Rhinolophus ferrumequinum: one gene and its partners. The protein of the gene in region 1 interacts with the protein of each later gene in a pairwise test. Links are inferred from orthologs where the notes say so. Each region holds a gene or a part of one and is shown in the gene's direction. Other genes may lie near its edges. The genes, in order: GRN, ARFGAP1, DLK1 and PRKAB2.

The links.
Region 2: the proteins of GRN (region 1) and ARFGAP1 interact in binary tests that used the Homo sapiens proteins (3 or more experiments, as listed by UniProt). The two-hybrid records come from large-scale screens. The link is inferred for Rhinolophus ferrumequinum from reciprocal best matches to the Homo sapiens genes GRN and ARFGAP1.
Region 3: the proteins of GRN (region 1) and DLK1 interact in binary tests that used the Homo sapiens proteins (3 or more experiments, as listed by UniProt). The link is inferred for Rhinolophus ferrumequinum from reciprocal best matches to the Homo sapiens genes GRN and DLK1.
Region 4: the proteins of GRN (region 1) and PRKAB2 interact in binary tests that used the Homo sapiens proteins (3 or more experiments, as listed by UniProt). The link is inferred for Rhinolophus ferrumequinum from reciprocal best matches to the Homo sapiens genes GRN and PRKAB2.

Annotation. Positions count from the first base shown.
Region 1 is NC_046304.1:39,390,782-39,398,062, forward strand, and holds the start of GRN (progranulin), read left to right. Parts: upstream 1-4,268; 5' UTR 4,269-4,365; intron 4,366-4,627; exon of another isoform or gene 4,628-4,789; intron 4,790-6,421; 5' UTR 6,422-6,456; coding exon 6,457-6,485; intron 6,486-6,938; coding exon 6,939-7,083; intron 7,084-7,203; coding exon 7,204-7,281. UniProt on the Homo sapiens protein: Secreted protein that acts as a key regulator of lysosomal function and as a growth factor involved in inflammation, wound healing and cell proliferation. Regulates protein trafficking to lysosomes, and also the activity of lysosomal enzymes.
Region 2 is NC_046306.1:655,938-663,035, reverse strand, and holds the start of ARFGAP1 (ADP-ribosylation factor GTPase-activating protein 1), read left to right. Parts: upstream 1-4,089; 5' UTR 4,090-4,233; intron 4,234-7,098. UniProt on the Homo sapiens protein: GTPase-activating protein (GAP) for the ADP ribosylation factor 1 (ARF1). Involved in membrane trafficking and /or vesicle transport.
Region 3 is NC_046289.1:3,794,105-3,802,042, reverse strand, and holds the start of DLK1 (protein delta homolog 1), read left to right. Parts: upstream 1-4,920; 5' UTR 4,921-5,088; coding exon 5,089-5,155; intron 5,156-6,352; coding exon 6,353-6,416; intron 6,417-6,904; coding exon 6,905-7,035; intron 7,036-7,938. UniProt on the Homo sapiens protein: May have a role in neuroendocrine differentiation.
Region 4 is NC_046305.1:49,426,682-49,434,169, reverse strand, and holds the start of PRKAB2 (5'-AMP-activated protein kinase subunit beta-2), read left to right. Parts: upstream 1-4,488; 5' UTR 4,489-4,824; intron 4,825-5,156; exon of another isoform or gene 5,157-5,286; intron 5,287-5,528; 5' UTR 5,529-5,553; coding exon 5,554-5,709; intron 5,710-7,488. UniProt on the Homo sapiens protein: Non-catalytic subunit of AMP-activated protein kinase (AMPK), an energy sensor protein kinase that plays a key role in regulating cellular energy metabolism.

The DNA of each region.
Region 1 (7,281 bases):
GATGAACCACTTAGCCAGAGAGACACATCCAGGGGCCTCTCCGTGCCAGGCTCCTGAGTGGGACCTCCTGTCACTTTGGTGCCTCAATCCAGCAAAGGGCTGGCCTCCGAGGTCCAGTCCAGCTGGGGCTGCAGCTAGGAAGAACATATTTAAAATTGCTTAAGCAAGCGGAGAAGGCAGAAGTCATGAGGGAAGAGATTGATTGCTAGATTTCAGATGATGTAACAATAACACAACTTCTGACCACAAAAGTTATCATAATCAAAGATAAAATACAAATGACAGATTGGAGGAAATATCTGCAAGATAGGTAATATCTAGAATATATGAAGACTTCTCACAATTCAACAAAAAAAATATAAACACTATAGAAAAATGAACAAAGGATGATAAGATAGTTTTATCTGTCAACTTGGTGGGTGTTTATGGATAAGATTAATATTTAAATTGGTAAATTGTTGGTAAAGTGAATTGCCCACCACAATGTGGGTGGGCCATCTCCAATCAGTTGAAGGCCTTCATAGAACAAAAAGACTGGCCTCTCCAAGCAAGAGGAAATTCTCTAGCGACTACCTTAGGATTTCATCTGCATCATTCACTCTCCTGAGTCTCCAGCCTGCTGGCTCACACTGCATGTTTTGGACTTACTAGCTTCCATAATCAGGTGAGCCAATTTTTTTTAATAGATCTCTTTCTATATACACAGCAATTCGTTTTGTTTCTCTGGAGAACCCTGACTAATACAGTTAAGAACAGGTAATTCACAGAAGAAATACATATACAGCATAAGCATATGCACAAATACTCAGCTTCCCTGATGTCAAGGAGATGCAGATAAAACAACCCGAAAATACCTTCTGTCATAAGATAGGCAAAAAAAATTTTAAGTGGTGTATCCAATGTTGATGAGATTATGGAAAATAAGTTTCCCTAAATACTGTGACTAAGAATGTAAAGTGGAAAAATTTTAAGGCAATTTGTAATTAACATTTCAAATGTGTATACCCTGTACCCAGCAATGTTACTTTTAGGAATTTAACCCCCACATATGCACTCAGAGACATGTTCACAAATATTCATTGCATAATTATTTGTAACTGCAAAAAATTGGAAACGTGAAAGTCTATTAAATGAGAATGGTTAAGTAAATTATGTAACATCTATAGTGTGGAATACTTGGCAACTGTCAAAAAAGAAACCAATAAATAAATGGAAAGACATCCCATGTTCATGGATAGGAAGACTTAGTAAGACGGCAATACACCCCAAATTAATCTACAGATTCAGTGCGTTCCTTATCAAAATCTCAGCTGTCTTCTTTGCAGAAACTGATCCTAAAATTCACATAGAAATTTGAGAAAAGCCAAAACAATCTTAAACAGAAGTTGAAGAACTCCCACTTCCCAGAAGTTGAAGATTTCAAAACTTGCTATAAAACAATGGTAATCAAGACAGTGATAATGAATGGCATAAGGACAGGCATATAGATCAATGGAATAGAATTGAGAGTCTGGAAATAAACCCTCACATTTATAGTCAATTAATTTTATCAAAATTAAAAATAACAAGGCCTAGCCAAAGGCCTCTGGGAAGGTCAGGGAATGGGGCAAATGGGGATGGATTATTCTATGTAAAATCACTTTGTGATTCTGGAAATTTGCTTCTTTTCCGTCTTCCCTGTTCACAGAATGATCCTCTCTACTTAAAGTTGAAAGACAGAGGGAGAGAGATTCCTGAATTGGAAGGCATAAGGGCACTGGAGTGTTTTTTGAGGAATATGGGAGAAGTTCTGCAGTCCTTGATGTCTCTCCACTGTACCCTCTCCGTTGAAGTGGAGGTTCACTGCATTCATTTTGACAAGCTATTTAATAAATATGTTTTACATTTCTTTGCTGTAACAATCAGAGTAACTGCCTATGATTCAAATTTCTGTGAATGCTCAGGCTCATACCTTGACTACTAACTACTGTCCTTTAAGAGTGATGTCCATATGGCCCATTAAGTCATCCAAGACTGTTTATCCCTAGACGCAATGTCCCTAGGATGTTGGGCTTCGAAGTTCTTCAGTCTGCTTTTTGCAATTTTTCCTGTTGAACATTTTTAATCCTTGCGAAACTCAAAGTTACTCCTTCTAGAAACTACAGCATGCACACATCCCCTGATCTTTCTATAATCTTGATGCTGGGAAGTCAGATGACAACATTTATTTAAAATACATGAAATAAGAGAAAAGAGGCTCTATGTGAGGAAAACTTTGAGCTCTTTCACGGAGAAAGTTTATGATCCTTTAGAGACTGTTTCTCAACCTCTACGCTGCCAACATTTGGGGCAAAATAATCTCTGTTGTGAGGTCTGTCCTCCGCTTTGTAGGATGGTTAGCAGCATCCCTGGTCTCTATGCACTAGATGCCAATAGCACTTCCCCCCCGTTGTGACAACCTAGAATGTACCCACACACTGCCAAATGTCCCTGGTGGGGAAAATCACTTCCTTACAGATTTTGTGATATAGTCATCCCTTGGTATAAGCAGGAGGTAAGTTCCAGAACCCCCCATGGATACCAAAATTCATGGATGTTCAAGTCCCTTATATAAAATGGCAGTTTTTGTACATAACCTGTCCACATCCTGCACACTTTAAACCATCTCTAGATTACTTATAATACCTAATACAATGTAAATGCTATGTAAATAGTTCCATACTGTATTGTTTAGGGAATAATAACAAGAGAAAAATGTTCAATAGAGACGCAACCATCATAGGCCTAACGATATAGTACACATCAGCAACAATGTAACCTTTTTTTCCAAATATTTTTGATCCCTGGTTGGTTGACCCCATGAATGTGGAACCCACAGATACAGAGGGCTGACTTGTTTTAGTCACTCTAGTCTTTTTTTCCTTCTGGTTCTGTATAGTTGTGATTAATAGGTTACTTTATTGATTTGCCTAACATTTCATAAAAATTGTGTGTGCATGCATGTACTTTATCAATAGAAGCATAAGCTATACCCCCTTGCCTCAGGATACACAGGAAGGAAAATATGCACAAATGTACCAATGTGCAGAATAGTCCCAGATTCTCAGCAGGAGCCTTACTCACTGTCTGGACCCTCTCTAACATGAAGCTGAGCAGTGCTGCCACAGAATTCCTCAACCCTGCCATGCTTCCATACCCAGACTCCTATTTGGCTCCTATCCCAGCCTCACACTCAGCTCAAGCTCTTTCCCTAGTCTGCAGCACTCTCCATTCCTTCCTCCAAGTCCCAGCACCAGGTTTTCTCTGGGCCTCTCCTCTCTCCTGGTGCATCTCCCATCACCCATCTCTGCCTGGACCAGGCCCTTTGACACTGAGCAGTCTGGCTCTGTTGCTGGCTAATCCATTCTATGTAGTACGTTTTCTCTCCTCACCGGCCATGTCAATTCCTGGAAGGCAGCACCATCTGAAACTAGTAAGCCATTTCCACTATGCACTCATCCCCTGCCCAGCCTTGGGCCAGGCGCCCAGCAACTCCTCAAGCCTACTCCATTGAACTTGGCATTCAATCCCTGCCCAAGGCTGCCCTTTCCATCTGGTTTCCTAGTGCTCTTCCCAGCTTCCCCTGTCTAGCCATTTCTTCAAGCTCTTCCGACCTACGTTAAAATCCTTCCAGACTCAGTTCAAAAATTTGCCCCCAAGGTAGGATTAAATCTCTTCTTCCCACCTAGAGCTAACCTACTACTTCTTCCCTATACCCATCTACAGCATTTGGCACACGACGTTGTACCTTAAATTAGATTTAATCTGAGTCTGTCTCCCTTCTCCACCCCATCCTCCGCTGTGAGCACCTTGAGGAAAGGGCCGGAGGGCTGTTTATCCTGGTACCCTTACAACTCTCCTTCAACCTCAAAGTTTAATCTGAATTTGTTGAATAGAATAGAAACAGGACGCACAAATGTCCCAAATGCAGAAGCGGACATCCTTTAAATGCCCTTGAACGCACCCTTGAAGGGGCAGCTCCCCTGGCTGTCAATATCTCCAGACAGACGCTGCCCGGTCTCCAGCAAACTCTACTAGGCGGCCGCAGGAGGCTGCGAGGCCGGTCCCGAAGCCGGGTTGAGCAAGCCAGGGCATCACATGATTCTCCGATCACATGATCCCTAGAAATGGAGGGTGGGAGAGTCAGGCTGGGAGGTGAGTGTACTGAGTACAAAAACACAGCACTCCAGGATGGCCCGGCCCCTACGTCGACAAGTAGCGAATGGGAGGACGACAGCCCGGACATCTGGCCAATGGAAACTGAGGTGGGCGGGCCATCGCGCTGCGAGGCCCAAGTCCTGGAGCTGTGGGGTGGCTGCTACCCAGCGAGCGCCAAACGGGACACAGGTAAGGAGGTCGGCTGCGCAGACCTCTCCCTTGCTTCTTCAAGGGCCTGGCCATGGGGTCGTGGGGACTTGATGTTCCTCTGGAGTTTTAGCTGGGAGGCAGAAGATTCATTTAGAGAATCTCCTTTGGGGGTTTGCGATGTATGGGAGGGAGTTTTATGAAGGGTGGGAGTAAGCAGTAATGGCAGTGACCCCCTTAGAAAAGGGCAATCTCCCTCTACATCCCAGCATCCCGGAAGCTGCAGCCCCTTTTCCCAAAGCAGGGACCACTCCGTTCTTGAAGACCTCCGCCCCCCATCAGCTGGTGCTGGTGCTGCTGCTGGTGGTGGGTAGTGCCCACGGCGTCTGGTAGAGGGAGAGGCGCCCACCCTGGCCAGGAGCTCAGACGGCTGGGATTTAGACTTGAGACTCAGGCCTTCTCAAAGGTAGTAGGGACTTGGGAGGGTTGTGTCTGGCTCTCCCTTACTTCCTCTCTTGAGGGTGGGACAAGCTAACTTCCGCCTCTCCCAGCCACGTTTTCCTGCTCATTGGTAGTTGGATTGTTTCACCTTTTGGGAATCTCTCTCTCCTCCTGGCACTCAGCGTTGGGGGATGCCATCTAGTGGAAGATGACAGAGCTGGGGGCTTGAAGAGGCTCCTGTCCCTCGCTGGTGTGGCCGTGTGGATGGCGTGGGGTGAGAGAGGCCATAGCTCAGAACACTCCTGAGAGGAACTGGGCCCTCTCCTCCCCCATCCCTGGTCCTGAGTGTGTGCGCATGTGTGTTCAGTAGATGCGTACACTATACTCCCTAACCTCAGGATACCCCAAAAGGAAAATAAACATAAATAAATAACTAGGGTGCTGAATAGTCTGAGATCTGTACCGACAGGCACTCCTTCTGGCCTAAGCCAAGAAGTGGGTGGGGCCAGCTGTAGATGCCTGGGAGCTGTGGGCCCCGAGAAGTTGAAAGGGACCAAGGTCTAGAGCCAGCCTTCTTCATCCTTACCTGGCGGAAGGTGGCCTCCTGGGAATGGTCTTTGTGCTAGGGAGGGGACTCTGAGGGAGGGCAGGTGAGGGAAAGAGGATGTGAGCGACTGTGTGTGTGACGCCCTGCCACGCAGTGCGCTTGCACTGTCCATGCACACTCAGTGGGAACTGAGGCACGGAGACAGGGAGCAAACTTTGAGGCACTCACAATCAGTGGCAATTGTAGGTCTAGGACCCAAGTGCAGTATCCAGGCAGCCCATGTGCTTCCCATTTCTGTCCTGTCCAGGAAATACTTCTGTCCCCCTTCTCTGCTTGGACCCCAGGCCTCTATCCTCCCAGGGTTTGTTCATTCCCATGCACTGTCCATAGTGCCACATGTGAAATGAACCCAGTTCCAATATGCCCTGGAGCTGTCAAAGCCTGTTGTCTCCATGACTTGATATATAAAATTGGTGTATTGCTTAACATCTCTGAGCCTCAGTTTCCTCCTTTGAAAAGTAAAGGTAATAATACTACTTTGGTTGGTGGTTGCAAAGAAGAAAGAAAATATAGAGTGTTTAAACTGGCTCCTGAAAAGCTCAGCAAACATTGCTGTTTTTGCCCCTCTAGGCAGGGAGGGTAATGTCTCCCAGGCCTGCCCCACTGAACTAGCAGGGCTGGCTGATCATGGGGGAAGAGTTGTGTAGGAAGCAAGAGGCTGCACGCTCCCCACCTCTCCCCTCCCACAGACCGTGGCTAGTTCTTTCTACTGACTCAGAGCAGCAGCTGGGTGGGCACTCGTGGTTTCTCTCCCTGTGCAGCAGAGTTTCAACTCTAGGGTAGGGAGAGAGGCCGAGGCAGGGGTATGGTACGCTGGGCGTCTAAAAGGGCCTGGTGGTGTTGGGGGACCATTAGAACACAGGCGTCTTAAAGGCTGTGCGACCCAGCCTGTGTGTCCCTTTCCCTGGGTAAGGACAGGACAGTCAGTGGGTAGGCTGTGGCTGGCCTCTGGGAGAGGCAGCCTAGACTCCACTGGCCACATCACTTCCCTTTTCACAACTTTCACAACCCCGTGGTTTACCATGTCATCATGTGACCTCTCACCAATAGGCCTTTGCAGAGTGCAGGTGTGAGCACAGTATCAGATGAGGAGGCATCTGGAGGGGCTCGCTGGGTAAGTGGAACCCTGACTTTTCTTCAGGACGGTACTCCCTCCCTGCACCCCAGCTACATCTTCCCATGGCTACTGATGGCCTCCCCTCCCCCCCAGAGGTGGCCTCATTTCCCACAGATCAGACCCACAAAAGCCACAAATCTTCCTGATTCTCACATGCCCACATGTCTACACACTCACCCAGAGACTCAAGTGCTGGACCATGTTGGGGACACAGATTCATATGTACTCATGTCAGCATTCATGCTCATGGGTGTACATGCGCTGGTGCAGGTGTGACACGCATGCAGGACACATGTAGGAAACTGAATCTCAGAAACTACAACTTGCTTCCTCTCTGGACAAGTTGTTGTGGGGAGGCTCACGTAGTCCTGGGCCTGGGAGGAGACTGGCCCCAGAATCAGGGATGGCAGGGACTAAGCTAGTTGCCAAATGCCTCTTGATATTCTGCAGGTGGACCATGTGGACCCTGGTGATCTGGGTGGCCTTAGTGGCAGGGCTGGTGGCTGGAAAGCAGTGCCCAGATGGACAGCTCTGCCCTGTGGCCTGTTGCCTGGACCCTGGAGGAGCCAGCTACAGCTGCTGCAATCCCGTTCTAGTGAGTACCCTCAGCCTAGGCAAAAGCTGGCAGCTGGGATTTCCCAAAGGGTCATCTGGAACGGGCCACAGGAGGGGACCAGACTCTGGTCCTCCCATTTATCCTCTCCTCACTTTCCAGGACAAATGGCCCACAGTGCTGAGCAGGCGTCTGGGCAGGCCCTGCCAGATCGATGCCCACTGCTCTCCTGGCTACTCT
Region 2 (7,098 bases), on another chromosome or scaffold:
GCACACAGCCTCTCAAATGAGCAGGGTCACACGTCCCAGCCTCCTCCCATTTGTCATTTCCTTCTGTCACAGTCTCCCATTCTCCCTGTGCATCAGTCAGAGGCAGCAGCAGAGGGGCCAGCAGGCCCTCTCTACGTGGGGCTGTGTCTGAGCACTCAGCATGCCAGGGGCCAGGAGGTGGGCATCTCAGCTGGGCAGACCCGAACCAAGCCCATGCTCTGGTCTCCAGATGTGGGGCAATGCTGTTTCAGGAAGGACCTGCAGTGGAAGGTGATCAACAGAAGACACAAACGGGCAGAGGACAAACAGGAATCAGGAGGGGATGGACGCTGCCTAGTACACCTGTGCCTGGCCCCGCCACCATTAAGAAAATGAAAACTCACACGTGCTGCTGGCATGGCAAAGACAAGCAGCTTGATGATGCCCGGCCTGGCAGAAGTCGTAAGAAGAGCCACGCTCACATCAGTGCTTTGGGACCAAGGCCTTGGGGACAATTTGGGAGGATCTGCCAGAATTCACCCAGAGCTTCCACTTCTGGGGGCCTACGCCATGAAGCACTTGAGCACAGAGAGATCATTGCACAACCTGGGGGTGAGGCAACATAGTAGCAAGAATGGTAACAGTGATGACAACGGAAGGCGCAGTTAGAGAAATTACAATGTGCACCTGCAGGCTGAAGGCTGACAAGGGAAGAAGAGTTCCTTGGAGCAGGGTGTAAAAAGTGCCACAGTCTGTATGTTGACGTGGGAAAACCAGACTGGCAGGTCCAGCCCTGTGTGGCCCCAACTGTTTCTTCAGGCTCTGCCACCCCTACCAGAGCTGGTGGACCCCCTAGACCTGCTGACCAGGCTGTAGGGCCCCCACGGGGCCACTGACAACCAGCGCTCACAGCCCCACAACCAATTTCTCTGTTACTTGCACAAGTTTGGAAACAAACCACCGTGGTTCTGCCTCTGAGACTGGGGCTGGGTTTCGGATCAGAGGGCAGGATGGGCCACCCCACCAGGCCCGAAGTCCACTCGCCTTCCTGCTCTGAGGATGGAGCAGAAGCTGGGTGCAAACCTTGGCTCCATACTTACTAGCTTTTTGACCTTGGGCAAATTACTTCATTGCTGTGGGCCCCAGTGTCTTCCCTTGAACAGTGGGTTCGTCTCAGAAAGAGTACACAGGTTTGCTGTGTGGCTTAAAGGAGGTCGTCCTTATCGAGCCCAGGGACTGACTTTTGGCAAGTGCTCAGGACATGTGGCCCCTGGCCTGAAAGGGGAGTTGGAGACCTCCTTTCACAGATGTGGAAACTGAGTCCGGGAAAAAGTAACGCTTTTGCCCAGGCCCCACAGCGACTTCACAGACCACCTGCTCTCATGCCTGGCTGGCAGTGGCTTCGTTCCTGTTCCTCTTGTGAGGCCCGGCTAATGCCAGGAGCCCTCCAGCTCTGTGCAACCATTGACACTGAGGCTTTCATTTTGCTGCCCGTGAATTCCCTTCTGTTTTAATCACATTGAGAACTTCGGGATCCCTGGGGAGGAAACCACCAAGATGATCACATTACATATAACTGAAAAGTAATGGGCTGCTGGCAGTTCTGAGAGTAAAACAAATGATCTCCGTGTTTTGATGGAGTAATAAAATGCTTTCAGTATGCTTGCCCGCCCTCTCGCTGCATGGCCCACACTCTGCCCTTGTGCGTGAGTGTCTCATCTTCTCTGTCACGTGGTCACTGATTGAGCCTGAGACCACAGAGCGAGGCAGAGGCTGCCGCACAGGCTCTGAAGCAGTGGGCTCGCCATGTCCTTGGAAGGGCCACCCCTCTAGTCTTGGCTCTGGAGGTGAACATAGCCCCAGCCCTCCCATAGCCTGGGGTGGGTGGAAGGTTGACTTTTTAGAAAACTGATCAGAAAACTGGAAATCCAGCCTCCATTGCTTGTTTGGTGTAGTCGGTGCCAAATGTGCCCTTTCCAGGAATGCCTTCCCTTTTCCTCTTCTCCTTCTCAACACCTCATCCTTCTCAGCCTGCCTCCTCCAGGAAGCCCACTGTAACTAACTGATCCAGCACTTGCCTCTCACTTTCTGAACCCGTGGAGCCTACACAGGCACAACCACAGGATCTGAAATCTACACCGACATCTGTGTTGTCTCATATTACCGCCTGTGTAGACCCTATTGGTGCTTCGTCCAAACCATCTCAGCCCTCGCCATTTCTGTGAGTGCCAGTGGCTTCTTATTGCAGGAACTGGTGACTCTTCCCGTGGGGTGGCCCCGGACGCAGGAGGGTGCTTATGCTCAGCTGGGCCCAGGGCAGGCTGGAAGTGCTGAGGAGTAAGGTAAGCACTCAGGGCGTCACTCAACCAGTGATGGAGAGAAGGCAGATTAAACTGCAATGAGATACCACTTGGTACCCACGAGACTGGCTGCAATAAAAAGACTGACAACACCAAGTGTTGACAAAGATGTGGAGCGACTGGAACCCTCAGACTGCTGGTGGAAATACAGAATAATACAAGCATTTTGGAAGGCTGTCAGTTGCTTATAAGGTTCAACACACACCTACCCCATCACCCAGCAATTTTACTTCTAAGTAATTAAGTGACAGACACAAAAAGTATGTCCACAAAAAGACATGTACATGGATTTCAGGGCAGCTTTATTCATAATAGCCAAAACTTAGAAATGAGTCCAGTGACCATTGTATGAATGGATAAATGAAATGGTATTTTCATTTAATGGAATAAAAAGGAATGAGGCACTGATTCGTGCTACAATGTGGATGAACCCTGGAAACATGATGCTGAGTGACAGTCAGACACCAAAGGTCACATGTTGTACGATTCCATTTATATGAAATACTGAGAATAGAGGCACACACCCACATGGGTGGATCTTAAAACCATCACGTTAACCGAAGGACATCCTAAGTACATATCGCATGTCTTATTTATGTGACGTTCTAGAACAGACAAAACTGAGGTATGAGGCTAGACATGAGAACAGTGGTTGCCTCCGATGGAAACGTTCTGTAGCTGATTGTTGTGGAGGTACACTGGGCATGCGTTTGTCCAAACTCTCTGAGCTGTACAAGTTATGGAACGTAAAAATGTTTATACTGGACCATCCCAAGTTACACAGATCCCTAAAAGTATGTGGAATACAGAAAAGCACAAAGGAATAACTGACAACCACTTGCAATTATACCCCTCAGAGATCACTTTCAACAATTCTCTTTGTACAGTCATTTCCCCATGTTTGGGATCCTGCTATTCACACTGCTTTACAGCCGGATTGCCCCGCCTGTGTGATGTGTTCCTTCTCTCTCTCCCCACCCCCTCATTTCTCTCTCTCTCTCTCTCTGCAGCTGCGCTCCATACCCACCCCCCACCCTCTCCACCCCCGACGACACCAATGGGCTCCGCCAACAGGAGGCAAATAGGGAGAGCGGAGGGTGAGAGGTCAGAGAGGCCAGGTACTTATTCTTGTGGCTTCTCCTTCTGGTCACCGTGGGCTGGAGATGCCCTCAGACAAAGATGACAGCTCCTCTGGGCAGAGGCCCTAAAGACTCTCTCCTTCCTGGGTACCGGCCCCCTCCCTCCGCACGTCCCTCGGAGCCTCCTGACGTCACAGCCCTGCTGCTCCGGCAGAATTCCTGTGGTTTCCCGAAAGCCACGCACACCTTCCTAACTAGTTCCCGTGTAAACAAACCATCCTCGAATCATCCTAATTTGAACAGGCCGTCAGTTTCTCGAACAGACCCTGAGGATGCGCGTGGACGCACTTCCGTGTCCACGTTAAGGATGGCCGGCGGTCCCCAGGCCTCCAGTTCTGACACAGTCGCTAACCCAGCCCCGCGCAGCAGCATTGGGGATCCGCAGGGCCGACCACGACGAGGCGAAGCGACGCGAAGAGGACCCGGAGTCCGGCCCCAGGGCCGTCAGCACCGGCCTCCTGCCCCGGTCGGCGTCTGGGCCAACCTGGCAGCTGCGCGGCGCCGGGACGCGTCCCCATGGCGACGGGGGGGCGGTGCTTCCGGTCCGGCCTGCAGAGCGGAAGTCCCGCCCCTGCCAGCAGCCCCCGGCTTCCCGTGATGCCCTGGGAGGCGCAACGTAGCCGGAAGCTGGTGGCGGCGGGGTGGGCGGCGGGCTAGAGTCCTCCGTGCTGCGAGCTGCGCGACCCTGGCCCGGACCCCGCCCGAGCCTCCGGAACACGGCCGACCCGGCGCGCAGGATCGAGCCCGCCCACCAGGTAAGCGCGCGGCCTGAGGCCCCTGGCGCCCGCCCGCCCGCCGGCCCGGCCCGGCGGACGCCCCCACCCTACGCGCGTCCTCAGCCGGCCACCCTTCTCCTCTGGAGCTGCCCCCACTCCCCCACCTCAGCATCTGGAATTCTCCACCAGTCACATCATCCTGCCCATCATCCCCCCGCGTGGGCCGAGCCGGCCCCGGCCCTGTCCCCTCCCTCGGACCCAGCACCTGGCCTGGACACAGGGTCCGGTCAGGCCGACTATGAAGGGCCTTCCAGCCCTAAGAAGCGAGGGTTCCTCCCGCAGGTGTGGGGGCGGGGGCGGGGGCGGGCAGGGGTCCGTCTCACCGGAAAGGGCAGCCTCAGCGTGCTTTCGTTCCCTTTCCTCGCCCTTTGCGGTGGGTGATTGTCTCGAGGGAGGGAGAAGAAACCAGGAAAGGACTTACACATTTTCCGTTTACGTGGATTTACGTGGAAGGACTATATGCTTTTTGTCTGGCCTGTTAAACAACTTCATGGCAAACCACCGATTTTGAGAAATAATTGTGCGGCTCTAATATTCCGTGTCCTGTGTTTATGACAGTGCCCGACGGGGCTGCAATAATGGCCCGGGAATAGCTGGCTCTTGGGTTCGTTTTGGCATCCCTTTCCAGGGCCACACCGCCAGGAAGTTCAGAAATACTCTTATTAGTGTGAGAAAGGGTTGTTCTTAGAGACAAGTGCTTTGGATGCCTCGTTCGGTTTCTGAGAAAGGTGACTCCTGTTTCTGCCTGTCACCTGTATAACGGCCCTGGGGACTGAGCAGTGCGCTTTAGTCATCTCTTCTAATCTCAGATGTTGAGAAAGACCAAACAGTCTGCAGCCTGACAAGTGGATTACTTAATGAACTAGGACAGAGTGTCCTCACTTAGTCCAACATTGGCTGAAGTTATATCCCCTTGCAGAAAAAGCTACATTGTGCCATCTTGCTTTCAAGTGTTAAGACAGGAGTTTTTAGATCATTTTTCAAGATGAATCAATATTTAAACTTTTGAAAGTTAGGAGCTGCTTGTATTAAACAGCATTTCAGAGAACTCGACGATTCTGACATCCAAAACCAGTGACTGAGGGCGGGGAGGGGGGTGTCCTTTTAAATCCAAGCTAAGTCATTCACTTTTCACATATTTTTCTCTGTAGTGGTTCTGCAGATGTTCACTCTGCTGTTTTCCACGCTGAGAAATGCAGAGCAGGCTCACCCCAGTGCTGACTTCTGTGTGCCTGTGTCCTGTTGGCCAAACGTCAGCCTCTGAGGGCAGGCACAGCTCTATGAAGCCAGGTGTAGAGACCTGTATCGGGCAGGTGTGCGTGTCAGCCCCACACACATGCCCGCAAGGGGCTCCTGTGGCTACCGTGACACCAGTGTGTTCAAAGGGCTTTGTAAATTCTCACCCCCCAGGACATCTCGCCATGTGTGTGTTTGCCCACTTCTGCCTTTCGTGCTTTGGAAGAATACACGCTCAGTGGAGTGACAGCATTCCACCAGAGTGGTGGCATGGCCAACGGCCATGCTGGGCAGGACGGTGCATTCACACGTTTGCCCCTGAGGTCGGGGGGTTTCTGGGGACCATCACATGCGGTGCAGAGAACTCCTGGGCAGAAAGGAGCCGCAGTTGAGCTCTGGTTTGTTTCCATCAAATACAGAAAACAAACGTTTATTTCTTAACTTCATCTGGCTTCGAAGTGGGCACTGAGGGACATTCGAGTCCTGGGCTCCAGGTTTAGGCTTGGTTGTGTGCACAGTCGGGATCCCTTAATGAATCACGTGTTTCTGCGTCCCTATGATTGAAGGTGAAGTAGAGGACGGAGCTGCCTTTAGTTTTTACCCGCCCCTCAGCGTGAAGCTCCAGCTGCACCACTGATAGGAAAGCCGGTGTGAGCAGTTCCCTTCCGCGCAGCAGGGAAGTGGTAGAGAGGTGGTGGTGTGGGATGGCAGCAGTGCAGGAACACAGCTCTGACTAGTGTTCTCGAGAGGACGTGTGGTGCCATGTGAGTTACAGGGCACAGCTCACAGATTCCATTCGCAGTCGAGTGAAGGGCAAACTTCAGAAAGGCCACAAACCCGGTTGTGGGCTGGAGGTGGTAGAGGTGGCCTGAAACCCAGGCCCGACCCGCGGTGATGCCCACATGGTGCTTGGCTCCCACCCCCTTCCTCCTGCTGGAATCTTTTATTTTGGTTTTCCTGGTCATGAATTCAGTGGGCCACAGGTTGAGGTTGAATTTTCCGAAAGCAAGGAGACATATGTAAAGAAATAAGTGGCTTTTTCAGGCCAAGCTGTGTGACTGCCGTTGCCCAGCAGTGTCCCTGTGAGGCGTGGGGGTAGATCTGCCCTACTGTGGCCATCTGTCACCTCTCTCCCTCCTGCCAGCCATTTTCTTCATGCTCCTCACATGTCCGTCAGGGCCACCCCCCACAGCGCAGCAGGGATGGGAGGACAGGTGTGCAGTGCAGGGAACGTGGCTGCCTGTCTTGGAAGGCTGTCAGCCCAGGCCTGTGTGTCGCCCTTTAGGGGCTAATCAATCTGTGTGTGTTTTAGTAATGACCATCCTTGCTGTGAATAAAGTTTTTTAGAGGACAGGACTCCCTCTAACTTATGCAGTTGTGGGGTGCGTGATGCTTAAGCAAAGGGGACACCCATGTTGCCCCGCATGGTTGCATTGCCCTTGGCCTGGGAACGTCCACCTGCTCTTGGTGCTCTCGGGGTGTGGAGAACAGCCTTCCTCCGTCAGCGGTCCCCAGCGCTGCCTGCGGTGACGGCGGCCTCGCCCTGTCGATGCCAGGCAGCTTAACAGAACTTCTCTTCTCTGAAGCTGTGTTTCGTAGTGTTCTTGC
Region 3 (7,938 bases), on another chromosome or scaffold:
CATCCACGTCGATTCCAGTGGCAAGGAAGGAAGCGAGCAAATCTATTTTTGAATCCTACCATCGATGATGAGAAATTGGTTTTGTTTGGGGGCGGGGTGCGACCCCTCGGAAGTCAACACTATATATGGTCCCAAACCAATGCGCTGCTGCCTCACCTCGTTCTCGCTTTCTTCTGTTGTTCCCTCCCCGGAGCTTGTGGCTGGGCCTGGGGGAGCCGTTCTTTCTCCGTCACTTGCAGACCTGCGTCGGAGGCTTGGGGACACAGCAGGCCTGGGCTGTCACGCGCCTCTCCAGGCCCCGCGCACGAGGCCAGGAGCCGAGTGTGCGCCTCCGCCGCCACGTTCTCCCGCAGGAGCCGCTGAGCACGTCACTTCAGGCTGAAGAGGCTTCTCTCTGATTGAACTTGAAAGCAAACCTTCGTGTTCTTGAGCCTAAATGTACCCGGGTGCACCCCTCGTTTCCCTCTCTTCTCCGCCCTAAGACCCCTCTCCTCCGCAAAAGAAAAAATAAAAAGCAAAAATTTCTCTCCAAAGGTGAACATTAGCTGGGGAAAAGAACTGGCATCGTGGCAGCTGTACATCTCTTAGGTGTTAGCGTGAATCTCACAGCCCCTAAGAGGGCCGCTCTGAGCCCCCCCATCGAGGCGGGCGCTACCCTTCGGGCCTTTCCACTCTCCTCCCTGCCCTGCTCACTTTTAAGCTAGGCTTGGCTGAGCAGACAGCTTGATGCTTGGGTTCCCAGTAGACTGGGGTTTGAACTCCAGTTGTGCTCCTCATTAGCTGCACCCTTGTCTCGGGGTCTTCAAGCCTCAATGTGCTCATCTCTGAAATGGGCCTTGCAATCCCCACCTAGCCCAGCTGTGAGGAGGCCCTGAGGAGATGGCCCCTGCTGTGGGACTAACCTGGAATCTAAATCCAAGGGGCAGTCAGGAGAGGCAGAAAAGACAGCCCCCACTCTCTTATTAACCCATAACCTAGGGACTGTGGCCTCATGGCAGGGAGATCCCTGCCCCAGTGTCTCTAGGAAATTTCAGTTCCAGGGCTCTGATCAGGCCGCATGAGTCTTCGGGCGCTGGTCCTGCCCAGTTCCAGGAGGCGTCCTGCATGTCAGGCAGGGCCAGGGGAGCTGAGTACTCTCTTGGAGGGAGGATGGAGCAGGGAGGAGGAGGAGGGAACGAATGCACCTGTGACTCCTTGCTGGGCCTGTTTCCCCGACTGTGTGACACCCCACTAGGACTGGTCCAGTGGGGGTGCCGTTACCTCCAAAACCATGACCCAGTCTTGGCAGAAACAAAGCCTGGGGCTTGGAGACTCTCAACTGGTCGTGGGGGTGCAGAGCAGGATGTCAAAGAGGAGTTGAGACCTCCCCCAGCTGCCCTGCCCCACGGGTGCACGCCCAGGGAAAGCTGGTCTCTGGGGCCCCTCCAGCTGGACCCTGCTGGGCTTCCCTGCTCAGCATCAGAAGTGGTCTTGTGCAGGCTGGGGGTGGTGTATGTGTTTGGAGAAGGGGAGGGAAAGGGACTGGAGATAACATTTCTTTGGTTCTCTCAGAAAACTTTCACCCATCACCAGCTCCTTTGCTGTCCAACCAGCTGGGCTCTGGGCAGAAGGAACAGAGGACACTTTCTGGCTGCTGGTGGGGCTGGGGCCTCAGGCAGAGCCTGAGGAGGGAAGGAGACCTGCGGAAGCCCAGGCCTGAATTCCAATCCAGCCCCATGGTTGGCAGGCCTAGTCCCTGCTACCTGTGTAGACCACCTGCCATGCCATGTTGTGTGGTGGGTGGGGGCTGCCTGCCTCCTCTGGGATCCCAGAGGTTTGTACTTTGGAGAGGAGAGGAGGGGAGTGCAGCAAAGGGGAGGAGAGGGGAGAAGAGGGGAGGGGGGGAATACACAGAGAGAGGAGCGGCTGTCCTGACTTCTCCAGCCCCGCACTCCCCAGCCCCCAGGGTCTGCTAGCAAACAGCATACGGTGCTGACTTCTCCCCAAGGTACCTGATTGGTATTTTCATGCTTTCTGTGCAGCCTTGAAGTCTGTGACAGTCACCAACCTCCCCTCCCCATGGCTTCTAAGCTACGCTCTCTCTTGGCTGCTTGCTGAAAAGAAATCTCTAGTCTCCTGAATTTACAAACGCTTTCTTGACACTAGAGCAAACCAACTAGAAAGCTCCAGCTTACAGGTCCTGCCAGAAGGAAGACACCCTCCCCTCAGCAGCCCTGCAGGGGGCTCTGGAAGGCTTCTGCCCCCTCCTTCAGCTCTCTCTGGCTGACTGGCGGAGGCTGGTAGCAGCTGTTGGAGAAAGGGCAGGAAGGGGCCAGGCCTTGTAAGTACAGTGGTTTTCTACTTATGAAAACCGAGTTTCCTTTGGGGACAGGTGTGGCATCCCTGTTTATACACACGGAAACTGGGCTCAGGGGGAAATGACTGGCCCAGGACCCTCAGCACTCAGGGGATGGAGCTGGGATTAGCAAGCAGGTGCCAGCCAGCCCTTTCAGCCTAGCCTGTGACATTGGGTCAGAGACGCCCTGGGGTGAGACTGCCCTCCCCAGGCCTCTCCCTTTCCAAAACTGGGCAAGGCGGTGGTGGGAAGTGACTCAGCTGGGCAAAGGAGGGGTTCAGGGGGGGCACCGATGGCCCCCCGGCCCTCCCTTGGTGCCCGTGCACTCCACACCACACCTCATGACTTGGTCTGAAGGGGGGTGGTCACCCTGGGCCGCTTAGCCCTGAGATCCCCTGCTCCTCCTTAGTGTCTGGCTGAGAATCCAGCCCTTCCCGACCTGCCGGCCACACTGTGTAGGATAATTTTGGAGGCTGAGGTCAGGGTCCTTGAAGGGAAGAGAGGAGGAGAGTGAAGGAAGCTATGGCGATCACCATACAGTGGACACTTGGACCTCCAGGCCTGGGCCTGTCTGCCATTCTCATTGTAGTCTGGGGCCTTGGGCAAAAGGCCTTCCTTCTCTGGACTCAGTTTTTTCACCTAAGAAGAGTCCGTGGAAGAGGGGCGGGCGGGGGGTGGGGGGGGTAACGGAAAGGCATCGGGTGGGCTCCCAGTCGGGGACAGCCACTGGGACTGCTCCCTCCAGCCATCACCAAATCCATTCGCAACATCCCCCTCTCTTTCTGGGTCTTCTGCAGGGAACACCAGGGAAGGGTGCCTTCCCCAAGGGGGTGGGCACTTCCCTCCAGCCTCCCCGGAGCCAGCCTGGAACAGCTCCAGTCTCCACCCCAGTCATGTGCCTTCCGGAGTCCAGAGGTAGGGCCTTAGGGCCAGGCGCCTGGAGGCTCTCCCTGGCCTAACTTCCCACACTATCCCCAGGTCGGCAAGTGTGACCTCAAACCTTCCAGGGCCCGTGGGATGGCCCAAAGGTCAAGGCCCCCAATCCAGGTTCAAAGTTGCAGAGCTTCCCACCACCACCACCAGCACAGTGGGAAAGGGGAGACCATGAAATGGGTGAACACCCACTCCCTGCACCTGGGAGCATCTATATGCAAACTAATCTATGCAAATGAAGCATACACAAATGACCGCTCTAAAGGTCCTGACCTCCTGGTACTCATCCCCAGGAGGTTAAACACCTTTAATCACCTTTAATCACCTTTCACCAACCCCCACTACTGCCTAGCAGCTCCTTCCAGCAGTTTCCTGAACCTCCCACATCAGGACCTGGGTGTGGGAGGCTGCCCAGAAGCGTGTAGGCTCTACGGCCCAGGCTGGGGCTTCCCCCAGGAGCTCTTTGGAGGGTGGGGGGTTCCCTCAGGGCCAGCATCCGCACTGCACACCCTTGCCACCTCTGGATGGAGGCCTCCCTGTGGGTCTGGAATCTGTGGGGAGTGCGTGGTGTGCCTCTTTGCGTGGGAGAGGGACCATACTACTTGTGAGCTTGCCCACACATGTCAGTGATGGATGTGATTCTGCGTGTTTGTGTGTCGGGGGACTGTTTAAGTGTGTTTTGATGAGCGTATAACCGAGAGCCTGCGGTTTGTAAGTCCTGGGGACTGTGTGTGTGCTTGTGAACATGAGATGTGTGGTTGTGCGTGTGAGAGCCGCGGTTTGTTACACACGACGAAGGCCCTGACGGTGTGTGCCGGCGTGTGCGGGGAGTTTGTGAGCCCACATGTGCTCGGGCATCTGTATGTTGACAAGTGTGTTCGCATGTTCAGGTGGCACGCGGCTCTCCACGTGCCTCTGTGTGGATGGCCTGGTACATGTTGAAAGATGCCCAGGGTTTCATAACTGCGTGTGCGCTGGCCTCTGTGCGCGCCCATGACTGAGCAGGTAGCACTCCCCACTCTTTCTATAACGTGCTTTTGTGTTGCAGTGTGTGTTTGTGTCGTAGGATGTGTCTGGGTCGCTGGATGTGTGTGGCTACAAGTGTGTGCGTTTTTCCTGCGTTTTTATGGCTAGGGGTCTGCATGCATAAGGGTTTCACGAGTGGTTTTCTGGGTGCGTGTGTGATTACGTGCGGATTCTACGTCTTCAGAGTGTGCATGTGTGGTTTTCTGGGTGTGCGAACCATGGCATGTGTGCTCGGGACCTTGGCGACAAGTGTTTGGATGTTTCTGTGCGTGTTTCTGTATTCCGAGCGTGTCCTTGCGCCGTCCTGGGGTCTGCGGCCCAGCCCAGGTTCAGTTCATGCGACTTGTGCTAAGCGGGCCCGACTGTGCGCGCCCGTGTGCCGTCCTGTGTGGGGACCGTGTGCTCAACGCGCGCGGGGTACCTGTGCCCGTCTAGCCAAGAGTGCGCCGCGTGCGCGAGCGGGTTTCCGGGACACTGCAGTGGTGGGGGGTGGCCCTGCGAGGGGCGGGGGTCACCGGGACTGGCCGGCGCCGGCCCCGTGCGCGCGGAGGCGGGGGCGGGGGGCGGGGGCCGCGGGGGGGCCGCGGTACGAAAAGGGCGGCGCGCGCGGCGGCGGCAGCAGCTCGGCGGCGGCGGCATTGGAGAGCGCAGCGCGCAGCCCGGTGCAGCCCTGGCTTTCCCCTCGCCGCGCGCCCGCGCCCCCTTTCGCGTCCGCAACCAGAAGCCCAGCGCGGCGCCCGGAGCCGGACCCGCGCCCGCGCCGCTCCCGGGACCGCGACCCCGGCCGCCCCGAGATGACCGCGACCGCAGTCCTCCTGCCCGTCCTCTTGCTCCTGCTGGCCTTCGGCCACAGTGCCCATGGTGAGCCCCTCGGCGGCCCGGCTCGCGCCCCCTCTGGGGAAGCCTGCGACGCCCCCCTGGCCGCCTGGTGACCTGCGCGCCCCGTCCCATGCGCCCCAATCCGGCCCGTCCCACCTAACCCTAAGCCCTGCGCTGTGCTCGCCTCACCTTCCCCGCCACCCTTGCATGCCAAGCCCGGCCCTGGGAGTCCCGGGGGCAGCAGAGGTGTGGGATCCCCAGCCCCTTCCCGCCCCGCAGAAGTGGCGCTCGGAGGGGTGTCGGTGCGCTGAGACAGGAGGTATGGAGAAAGGAGGTGATGCTGGGAGTCCTGTGAAAATGCTTTGGGGTGCAACTTTAGGGTGTTCATGTGTGCGCGTTTGGGAACAGGTCTTTGGGGACAGTGGGGGGTGACTTTGCCTAGTAGTCCCATATTCCCAACCAGGAGCCCAGCCCAAGCTTCTCTGTGTGACGTTTCTCTAGGTGAGGGGCTGCGACACTTCTGTCTGCAGTGGCCATCTGTCTCTGACAGCCAGAGAATTGCCCCCTTCCTGCAGTGGCCCCCGTCCCCACTGCACCATTGGTTATGGGGGGGCTGTCTAGAAAGCTGGACAGCAGGTTGAAGTAAATGCACACAGTAGGCACCTCTTGAAGTGTCAGAATCTTTAAATAGTGTCAGAACTGCAGTCAGCTCTGCAAAACCTTTGCGTGTTTTTAAAATACGAAGTGCGGGGTAAGGGACGTTGGGGAATTTGACCTGGGTGTCTGGCTTAGCTGGGATGAACCTTTAAAAAACATCCAGACACCTTACCTGTGAGCCTCCAGGTGAACCTGTCGGGCTTCCTCAGAGATGAATACCTGGAAATCTGCTCCCCTTTAACTCACGTAACATAAGTGAGGGTTTGGCTGAGTGCCCAGGGGTCAAAATCTTTTCATCCACTGTTTCCTCATCCCTAATTTTAAGACTCAGGGGTTTGTATTTTGTTTGGGGGGAAAACAAGGTGTCTGACCTGCTTCTGAGAACTAGGCAGTGTACTGTGGTCACTCCATAACCAGGAACGTGGCAGAGAATTTTCCTGAGTGGGTTGATATGAAGTGCCTACTGTGTGACAGGCTGGTAGGACTGCAGAGGGTAGTGGGCTCTCTTGAGGGAGGCCTTGGGCTTTGCTTTGGCCTCTGGGGCCTTGTGGGGTGAATGGTGTAACCTTTTTTGTGCCTCAGGAGCTGAATGCTTCCCGGCCTGCCACCCCCAAAATGGATTCTGCGAGGATGACAATGTTTGCAGGTAATGGAGCGGCTCCCCAGAGGTAGCTTGTAGGGGGCCAGGGCAGAATCCTGGGGAGTCACAGTGTCAGGCAGAAAAGAGGGGGCGTTTGGTCTGGGCTGCAACAGCTTCCTCACCCCCACAGCAAACTGCTGGAGACAGTAAGGGGAGAAAGGACAGAGGATTGTTGGGGGGACGGGCACAGCTCCCGTCTGCTTTCTCAGAAGTGGGGTGTCAGGAGAGCCCTTGCAGGATGAGACCACTGCAAGCCATTGCGGCAAAACGCAGCATTATCCTGGGCTCTCAGGGACCCCTCTGTCTGCTCCTCAGTTGGTCCTCTGTTTAAGCTTTTCCATTCAGGTGACTGTTGTTTGCTTCCTGGGACTCACTGGCCCAGCCCTGTGCAAAGACCCCATGGGCCCTTGGTTCCACAGAAAGCAGCCTGAGCTCCCTCTTCACCCCTACCCCCCCTCATATGTTCCCATCTTTTTCCCCTCCCCCCCATGCAGGTGCCAGCCTGGCTGGCAGGGTCCCCTCTGTGACCAATGCATGACCTTTCCTGGCTGTGTTAACGGACTCTGCGTGGAACCCTGGCAGTGCATTTGCGACGATGGCTGGGACGGGAACCTCTGCGACATAGGTTGGCACATGCTCTGCCTTTGCCCACCCCCAGCTCTGCCCTCTGGCCCCAGCCCCAGCCCTCCTCCCCCCAGCCCCGTGGCTGCCTCCCCTCCAACCTTATTCCAACACACACTGGGTGCATCCTGTGTGGTAATGACCTGTTTATACACTTCCCGCTGGTGATTGGAGCCTCCTCACAGGTAGGGACATAATTTTGCTCCCCTCTGCACCACTGGCACCCAGCACCCACCCGGCACCTGAGAAGGCACTGGGAGGGGTGGCAGGGAGCTGCCTGTTGAATAAAGAGTCACAAAATAAACACATTCCACACAAAGCTGAGAGGATGGAGCACACAGACCCGGATAACCTGTCCAGGTTACTGCAGCTCAAGGAGGGGAAAGGAGAGCCGGAGGTGGGGTGGGGGTCACAGAGCAAAGACTCCAACAGATTCACACGCAAGATTGTTAAGGAGGCTGCAGCAAGCAAACAACAAATAAATGGGGGCGGGAGGGGTCTGTCAGTGCCGAGTGGTGGGTAGGAGGAGCTGAGCCAGGGCCACGAGGACCGGGCGGGGGGCTGTGATGAAGAGCTCAGGGCCAGGGGAGGCTGGGGGCTGGGAAAGGCTGAGAAGTGGTTAAAGTGCGGTTTGGTGTTAGCTGTTGATTTCATTAATTTATGCAATCTTTGTCCTCCTTTACCCTGAGCAATTGAGAGTTGGCTGTCGCTGCATTTTCAGGCTGCAAATGTTCATCCGAGCCCATTCTCATTTGGCAAAACCTGCCTGGAAGCCCAGGCAGACTGAAGTCCTCGAAAAAACTCCAGCAGCCTAGGCAGTGCTGCAGGGTCCCTGACCCTCAGTCCCCAACATTAGCGGAGATGAGTGGTCCCAGTAGGGAAACTGAGGCTCAGAGAAGCGGAAGGG
Region 4 (7,488 bases), on another chromosome or scaffold:
TAGGTGAGAAAGAAGAGACAAGCTGAAGAAAAGTGTTTAAAATCCTATGTTTAGGGCCTGAAAGAAAAGTCCTGTAGGAAAACGCACATGGGGAGAAAATCAGGTATATTGTTTTTGCAAGGATTGCTTCAAGTGCTAGTAGAGCTGCCACAAGAAGGAAGAGCGGCAATGAACTACTGCGCGCAGACATGGTCGAATTCCAAACCGCAAGTAGATTTACAAATCTGCAGAGGCCACTGGGCAGGCTGTCGCCAGGGGACAGCATGCTCAGGTCACAGTGCCTCATGGTATGAACAGCCTGCATGATCAGGGAAGGTGGTACGTCGCCGAGTGCTTAGTGCTTGGGTGACACAGTCATTTAGCATCTGAACTTCACTGGGTGACTTTTCTTTAGACAAAGTGGGAGCTAATGGCAGGTGCCTAAACCTTTGTGGGCAAGTCAGAGGCAGGATCATTGCAGGTTCAGAGAGGTGGTTTTCTTCAATTGATTGTACTGGCGCAACTGTCCCCTGCCTCGGAGGAGGAGAGCGTTTTTATTCCACCCTGATATCCTTGCCAGGTGCTCTCCTAGTTTTTCCTTCCTTCCACTGCCGAACTTCTGCATCCATATTCTACCTGATATGCTCTAAAGTCTCAGCCTTTTCTCCCTCCTAAGCTCCCTGCACTGTAACTTCCGTCCTTGCTCCTGCAACCACTCTCTTCTGGAATGCTTTCTTTCTTTGCTTTCCTGGCAATGAAATACCCTATTTCAACTTTCCCTCTCTTCAGACGTTTGTCTAGCCACCTTCAGACTGAGCTGTCCCTAAGGATATCATTGAGCCTTTATGAAGGGTTAATTATGTACTTACACATAACGTTTTATACGTGTGAGTTTATTGAATCTTTGTGACACCTTCATGACGGGGACAGCGTTTCACCCAGTACCATAGGGTAACTGCATGCCTACCAACCTTTGGGCCGGCATCACATCCACAAGGGGGAGCTCTCAAATTCTGTCCTATCTTCTTTCTTCTAAACTGTAGTTCCATTTCAATAAATTCCTCTTTGACCTTCTTTCAGTTCCATTTCACCTGTTCTACCTCAAATTTACAGTCGCTCACCTTTTCCTGTCTGTTTTGGATTCTCCTAATCCGAGGAAGCCCTTCTAATCTCAATTAACTTGACCTGGCTTTCCTCTTACTACCTTTCTGTCCCGCTGTTCTTTCTTTCATTTTCAGAATAGAAAGGAAAACGAGGAGGTTATCAGGTAGCTTTCCGAATCCCACTCCTTCCACACAAGTATTGCTATTACCACTCTTCCCCTCTAAAAAGCCCTGTTAGCTCTTCAGATCTATACTTAGTGTCATCAGTCATTCCATTTGGCTCCATTGGGAGGGGGGTAAGTCATTCTCACCCCCTCCTTTCCAGATTCTGAATTAACATTGGGAAGTCCTGCACTGTGGACCCCACCACCACTGCCCTCATAAAACAATTGAGGGTCCCAAACTTCAGAATTTTGTGGTGGGTTCTCTCGTTCTGATAATATCCAAGTCCTCTGGATATGGATCTGCTGTCCTTGCGTCTCTGTATATATCCTTGTTTTCCACAGCACGCCTCTGCTACTGTAGGTGGTGCCTACAGATATTCTATACGCAATTTTTACACTCATTCCTATTTTATTCCTTCACTCTGATGGTCCCCTGACTTGTGACATATTCCTCTTTGTTCTCAGTTTATCTATATCTTCCACATCCTTCAAGCTCTCTTTTAACTACCCTCTTCTACATTTCTATTTAACAGTCTGAAACCACATGATTTGCCAAAAGTCATATATTCTTCTGTTTCATTTGTATCTATCCTATTTCCTCCGATAGATTACAAAGTCATAAAGGACAAAGTCTTATTTTCTTCTCTATTTTCCATAGGCTCCTAGTCTAATATTGATCCAATAACAGGTACTCAGAAAGCACTGCTAGATTGATTGATTGATTGATTGACTGACTGACTGTTGACAGCCACGGCTCCTGTCTTGTCTGCTTCAGGTATTTGGAGAGCCAACGCCACACCATTCAGACAGACTTTATAGATACCACGGTGGAACTTGCTGATCTGGTGGGCGTCAGACCCAACCTGCTGTCTCTGGCCTTCACCGACCCCAAGCTGGCATTACAGTTATTATTGGGACCCTACACTCCAATCCAGTATCGTCTACAGGGCCCGGGAAAGTGGGATGGAGCCCGAAAAGCCATCCTCACCATAGACGAGCGTATCAGGAAGCCTATGATGACCAGACAAGTTAAGAGCAGTGGTTCCATGATTTCAGCATTAACGATGGCCTGGTTCATGCTCGCTGTGGTTTTTTTTGCCATAATTATAACCTATTTTTAGCAGTTCCACTGTCGTTGCCCCGGTTTTCTTTGGGGAGCTGGATCGAGAGATGCCTCCAGGACAACTCTTAGCTTCACATTGCCCAGAAATCTACTTTTATTTCTCTTTCCAACGCATTAATCCTCTTTTCTCTTTTCCCTACAATGAAATCCCAGCTTTTCATTCAAAATGGATTAAAGACGAATCTAAGACCTGAAAGCATAAAACTCCTAGAAGAAAACATTGGGGATAAATTCCTTGACATCAGTCTTGGTGATGATTTTTTGGATTTGACACCAAAAACAAAGGCCAACAAAAGCAAAAATAAACAAGTGGGACTACATCAAACTAAAAAGGTTCTGCACAGCAAAGGAAACCATTATATGCCATTGGTTAAGAGATCTTGCTTCTTTGCCTAGACACTCCTATGTTTAAGGAAAAAACCCAAAAACTCGGTAGGTAGTAAGGAGAAGCAATCAATCCTTCCTACAGAATCAAGTTACTTGTGTCCTATGTCTAAACATGCAACACGCAGAGTTTACTGTGGACTGACTTCCAAGTGCTATTAGAGTCCAAGAATGTCATCGACAATCCCCTGACTAGAAAATGAACACTCTGAGAAGTCCTAAATTAAATTATAGCAGGCCCGAGGGTAGAAGAAAGAGACAAGAGAGGTTAATCAGTTAACAACTGCGGGGAAAATCATCGTAAGACTTGCTCGCATTCCTGAATGAATGTTACAACTCTGAGTTAACTTCCAGGTAGCTATTGCACAATTATCTAAAGAGAAGAGCCAGTAGCCCGCCACCAGCACAAGTGACCACCAGTGCCTCCATTACCTTGCTATGCATGACCTTTCCAGACTGTTGCCCACAACCGGTCCTCAAGAACAAACGCTTCTTCCTTACAGACTATGCACCTATCCCAGAACTAGGCCCTCTTCACTTTTTCCACACGCCCTTTATCCATAGCCAGTGCCAATTCTTTCAAAACAACTTTCGTCTTTGTTTTCTAAACCCGAGATATGAAGGATCCGTCAATGCCAGAAGTGCGTAGCCCTGCCGCTGCTGGTGCAGACAGCGCGCACCAGGACCCTGTCCTTTTCTGGCTGGCATCTGGTTCAATAAACGGTTTCTTTCAGAAAAGCTATTGGCCATGAAAGTTTTTTGTTTCCCACCCCCAAATCAGATAATCCAAAAATCATTTCTATTTAGTTTTACAAAAATAGTTTCTCTTCCTAACAAGTTTTCCATTGGCTAATATATATTGTGTATGCTTCTCCCCTGGTGATTTGACTACTGTAAGGAAATATGTACCAGAGACATATTATTTGGCCCGGAGAGACCAACCTGGAGTTAGAAAGCTGAATAGTACATTAGTTAAGGTTTAATGTGTTATTCCTTCAAAGGCCTTGATTCAGAGTCCTATGGAAAGAATGACAGGAATTGGGGAGGGCAGGGAGTTCACCAAAAGGAAGTAACCAGACAGTCAAGATTCTGTTTTTAGTCTGCAAACTGTCTTTGGTTAAGAGCCAGAAAACAACAGTTTATTTGGGGCTGAGCATAGATCAAAGGGGAAGGAGTGGATTTGTTGGACTTAAGTGGGTGGGTTTTCAACTTAATATAATAATGAACTTTTCAATAAATAGAGTGGCTCATTCCGGAAGGGTGGCTTTGATGGAGTTCGCCATCACCGGCTGTGTTTAAGCCTAAGTGGCATTCTTGTGAGAAATATAATAATCAGTATTCACGTACCCTTCAGTCCGCAAATGTGTATTAAAGTTCACTCTGTCCAAGGTGCATACAGAATACGAAGAGGAATCAAATGGAGTCCTCTCTGCCAGTGTCAACGCAGTGCTTCTTACACTTTACCAGGCACACACCTTCCTCTGAGGACCTTGTAAAGTGCAGATTCTTATTCTGTAGGATGGGGCCAGGTTTTGCACTTCTAACAAGTTCCCAGGTGATGCCTGTGCTGCCAGTCCCTGAAACACACGTTGAGTGCCAAGGATTTCGTGGAGGGAATGAGACATAGAATCGTAACACAAAGTAAGAATTGGTAAATGCCACTAACTGGTAAAGTTCCATTAATCATCAGTAAAAGCTGGGATTTGTCCCAAACCCAGGTCTGTCTTCCCCCTTTTCTGCCCTCAGAGTTCCTTCTGATGTTTTTGTTCCTGCACTCTTTCTTGAATTTCATTTCTTCCGGGTTCGTTAATTGATATGCCATTTCTTAGAATAGCTTTCTCCTCTTCAGAGTAACATTTTACTAATTTATCAAGGTTTATTTCGTAACCACTCCATCTTCCCTGGGGCCCCAGTCGCGGCTGACAGCTCCCTACACCACTTAATTTTAGCCTGGACCAATCCTTCTGCGTCAGTGGAAAGTCCGTTTTCCTATCCCCCCCGGACACCACCTCTCCGGGGCGACTGCCACAAAGACGCTGTCCAGAAAATGTTTTGGCGAAGCTGAGCCCAGGTGAGGGGGCCCGAGAAGAAAACCCCGCTCCTCGGGGTACAGAGCACCGGTGCCTGGCTGGCGGTCCCCAATGTCATTCGGGAACCGTGTGATCCGCGCGGCAGGCCCGGGAGCTCCGCGCACTGACGTTGCCCGGTGCAGTGTCGCCGGGCGGGCTGTCCGGGTGCAGCCAGTCCCCAGCGGACGGGCGGGAGCCCCCGCCGAGCACGGAAGGCCGCCCACGACCGCCTACCATGGAGGCGGCGGCGGCTAGAGAGGCCGGCGGGCCGGGCAGCTGCGCGGCGGGGCCGCAGGGAAGGCGCGCGGGGCGGGACCGCACAGCCGGCCTTGTAGCCATTTTAGGAGGAAACCCGGCTCCCTAGCTCCGCGCGTGGCTTCAATTTCAATAACTTTATTGGTGGCCTTAGCCGCAGAGCATCCATCGCGCCTGTGGCCCGGGGAGGAGGGAGCGCGTCTCAGGAGGTGATGGGGTGGGGGCGTGAGCGCTGGGATGCAGGGGAGTTCCCGAAAGCGGGTTTCCTGAGCAGCGGGCAGGGAGGGGGTTCGGGGCGCTCCTGGAGGCCGGGGAGGGAGGGCACCCACGGGCACGGCTTCCCTGCGGCGGGGATTCCGTTGCCCGTGTCCCCAGGCGCAGGGGTGGGGCTGCGCGCGCCCCTGACGTGGCCGCAGGGGTGTTCCTCGCACGGTGCTTTTCCCCACGGCAGGTGGCCCCCGACACGAGCTGCAGCCATGGGAAACACCACCAGCGACCGGGTGGCCGGGGAGCGCCACGGCGCCAAGGCAGCACGCGCTGAGGGCACCGGCGGCCATGGCCCGGGCAAGGAGCACAAGATCATGGTGGGCAGCACGGACGACCCCAGCGTCTTCAGTCTGCAGGACTCCAAGGTGGGCGTCCCTTCGCCCCCCGTGGGTGGCGATGCTGCAGTGGGCGGGGCGTCAGGGCGCCTCCTCACTTTCTTAATTCTTACCACGCTGATCTGGGTGATGACTTTTTGAATTAAAGGGATTTGGGGGGGACGGAGATGTTGGATGGTAATTCCTCTCGCGGTACTGCCTCAAAATAGGGCGGAAGCGGGGTTCTTGTTTGCCGATTAATCTGTTGGACACATTTTTAAGAGGATAGCAGGATGCCAGCCCCCCACCTCGCCTCCCAATCTTTGGTTCTCCTGACAGGCACGGTGCCCTCTTCTACCGTACTGATGAATTTGTAGTGTCAGCGCTGCCGGAAAACTTTAGAGGTTTCCTGAGTTGCCGCCCATAGCTGGTGGTTTCTCACATTTGCCCTGAGGTGGGTAAATGAGGTTCTTTTTTCTCTCTGTGTCAGTATCATTTTTGCCCTTGTAGGAGCTCAGCACTTCTGACCGTCTTCACCTTGGTCTTGACTGTGAGGAACAATCACTTGCTTATTTGAATACTTCCTCCTAGTCTTGTACATCCATAAAGGACATCGCTGCTCAGTTTTTGTCCCATACTTTATAGCTGTGGTGCTGAGGTTGTGCTTCTTTCGTGCCCAGCTGCTCAAGTGGCAGAACAAATCATTCCAGGATTTCTCCAGTAGCCAGTAGTACCTCAGTATGTCACCAGGGCTGAAAGCGGGACAACCCACGCTGCCCCAAAGACCTTGTGCTGGCGTCCAAGGACTCTGAGCGGAGTGGCAACTTGTGGGCACTCTGTAGAAAGGGCAAACTGAGCTGACAGCACTGTGATTACCACCCAAATGCTTTTCTTATCACTTTTAGAGCTACAGCATTAAGTACGTTAAGGCTGACTGGGATGAATTAGAAAAACGGAGAGATTGAGGAGACGAGTATGTTTGATGTCCCCTATGCCTTCCCACGAAGTAAATGGAGCATGATTTGCCACGTTGGCAGCTCATGGAATTTGGTTGTTTATTTTCTTGGATCTCGACTGAGAACATAATCAGAAGTGAGAGTGATCAAAAGGACCATTTCTTGGGGTTTCTTCTCCCTTCCTTTCTCCTCCCACTTCAGGACGTCTTCCTCATCATGAGGGCTGTCCACCCACCCAGTACTTCTTCAGGGCTTTCTCAAGGTGACCTCCCTCACTGCATTTTCCCCCTTTTCCTACACTGATGACTCAGGATTTAAGGACAGTGTATTTGTCAAACTGTGACTGCAGTAAGTGGTGTACTGAATACAAGCCAGATTGCTTTATTGGAAATGGAACCTATTTGGGATGATTCTTTGCCTTACCTCAGTCTTGCCATTTGTGAAATCAGAAAACTATTTCTGATTGTTCCTAAGGTCTCTTCCAAATCTAAAATTTTACAGTTCTCAACCTTCCTACTGTCTTTACTTCAATATCAATGTTTCACTTAAACATCTCAAACTGTAGTTCGAATTTTCTCTTTTCCGAATGATTTTGCTGACTATTTAACTTGACATAAACAGCCTTTCTGCTAGTCATCTGCCCGCATGCCGACCACAGAAATGTCACATGTGGAAGGGCTTTCTTCCAAACTAGGCATATTAATAGTTTGTAGCTTTCAAATTCTAAACCGGAAATCCTAAATCATAAAAGTAACTGGCAGTGGGGCCACCTTCTTCTGTTCCCAGTCCAATTTGCACATTAAAATCACCTGAAATTTGCTTAAACACTTTATGGATAAAAGGAAACATTTTCCATGTTTCAAACCAGGAAAAC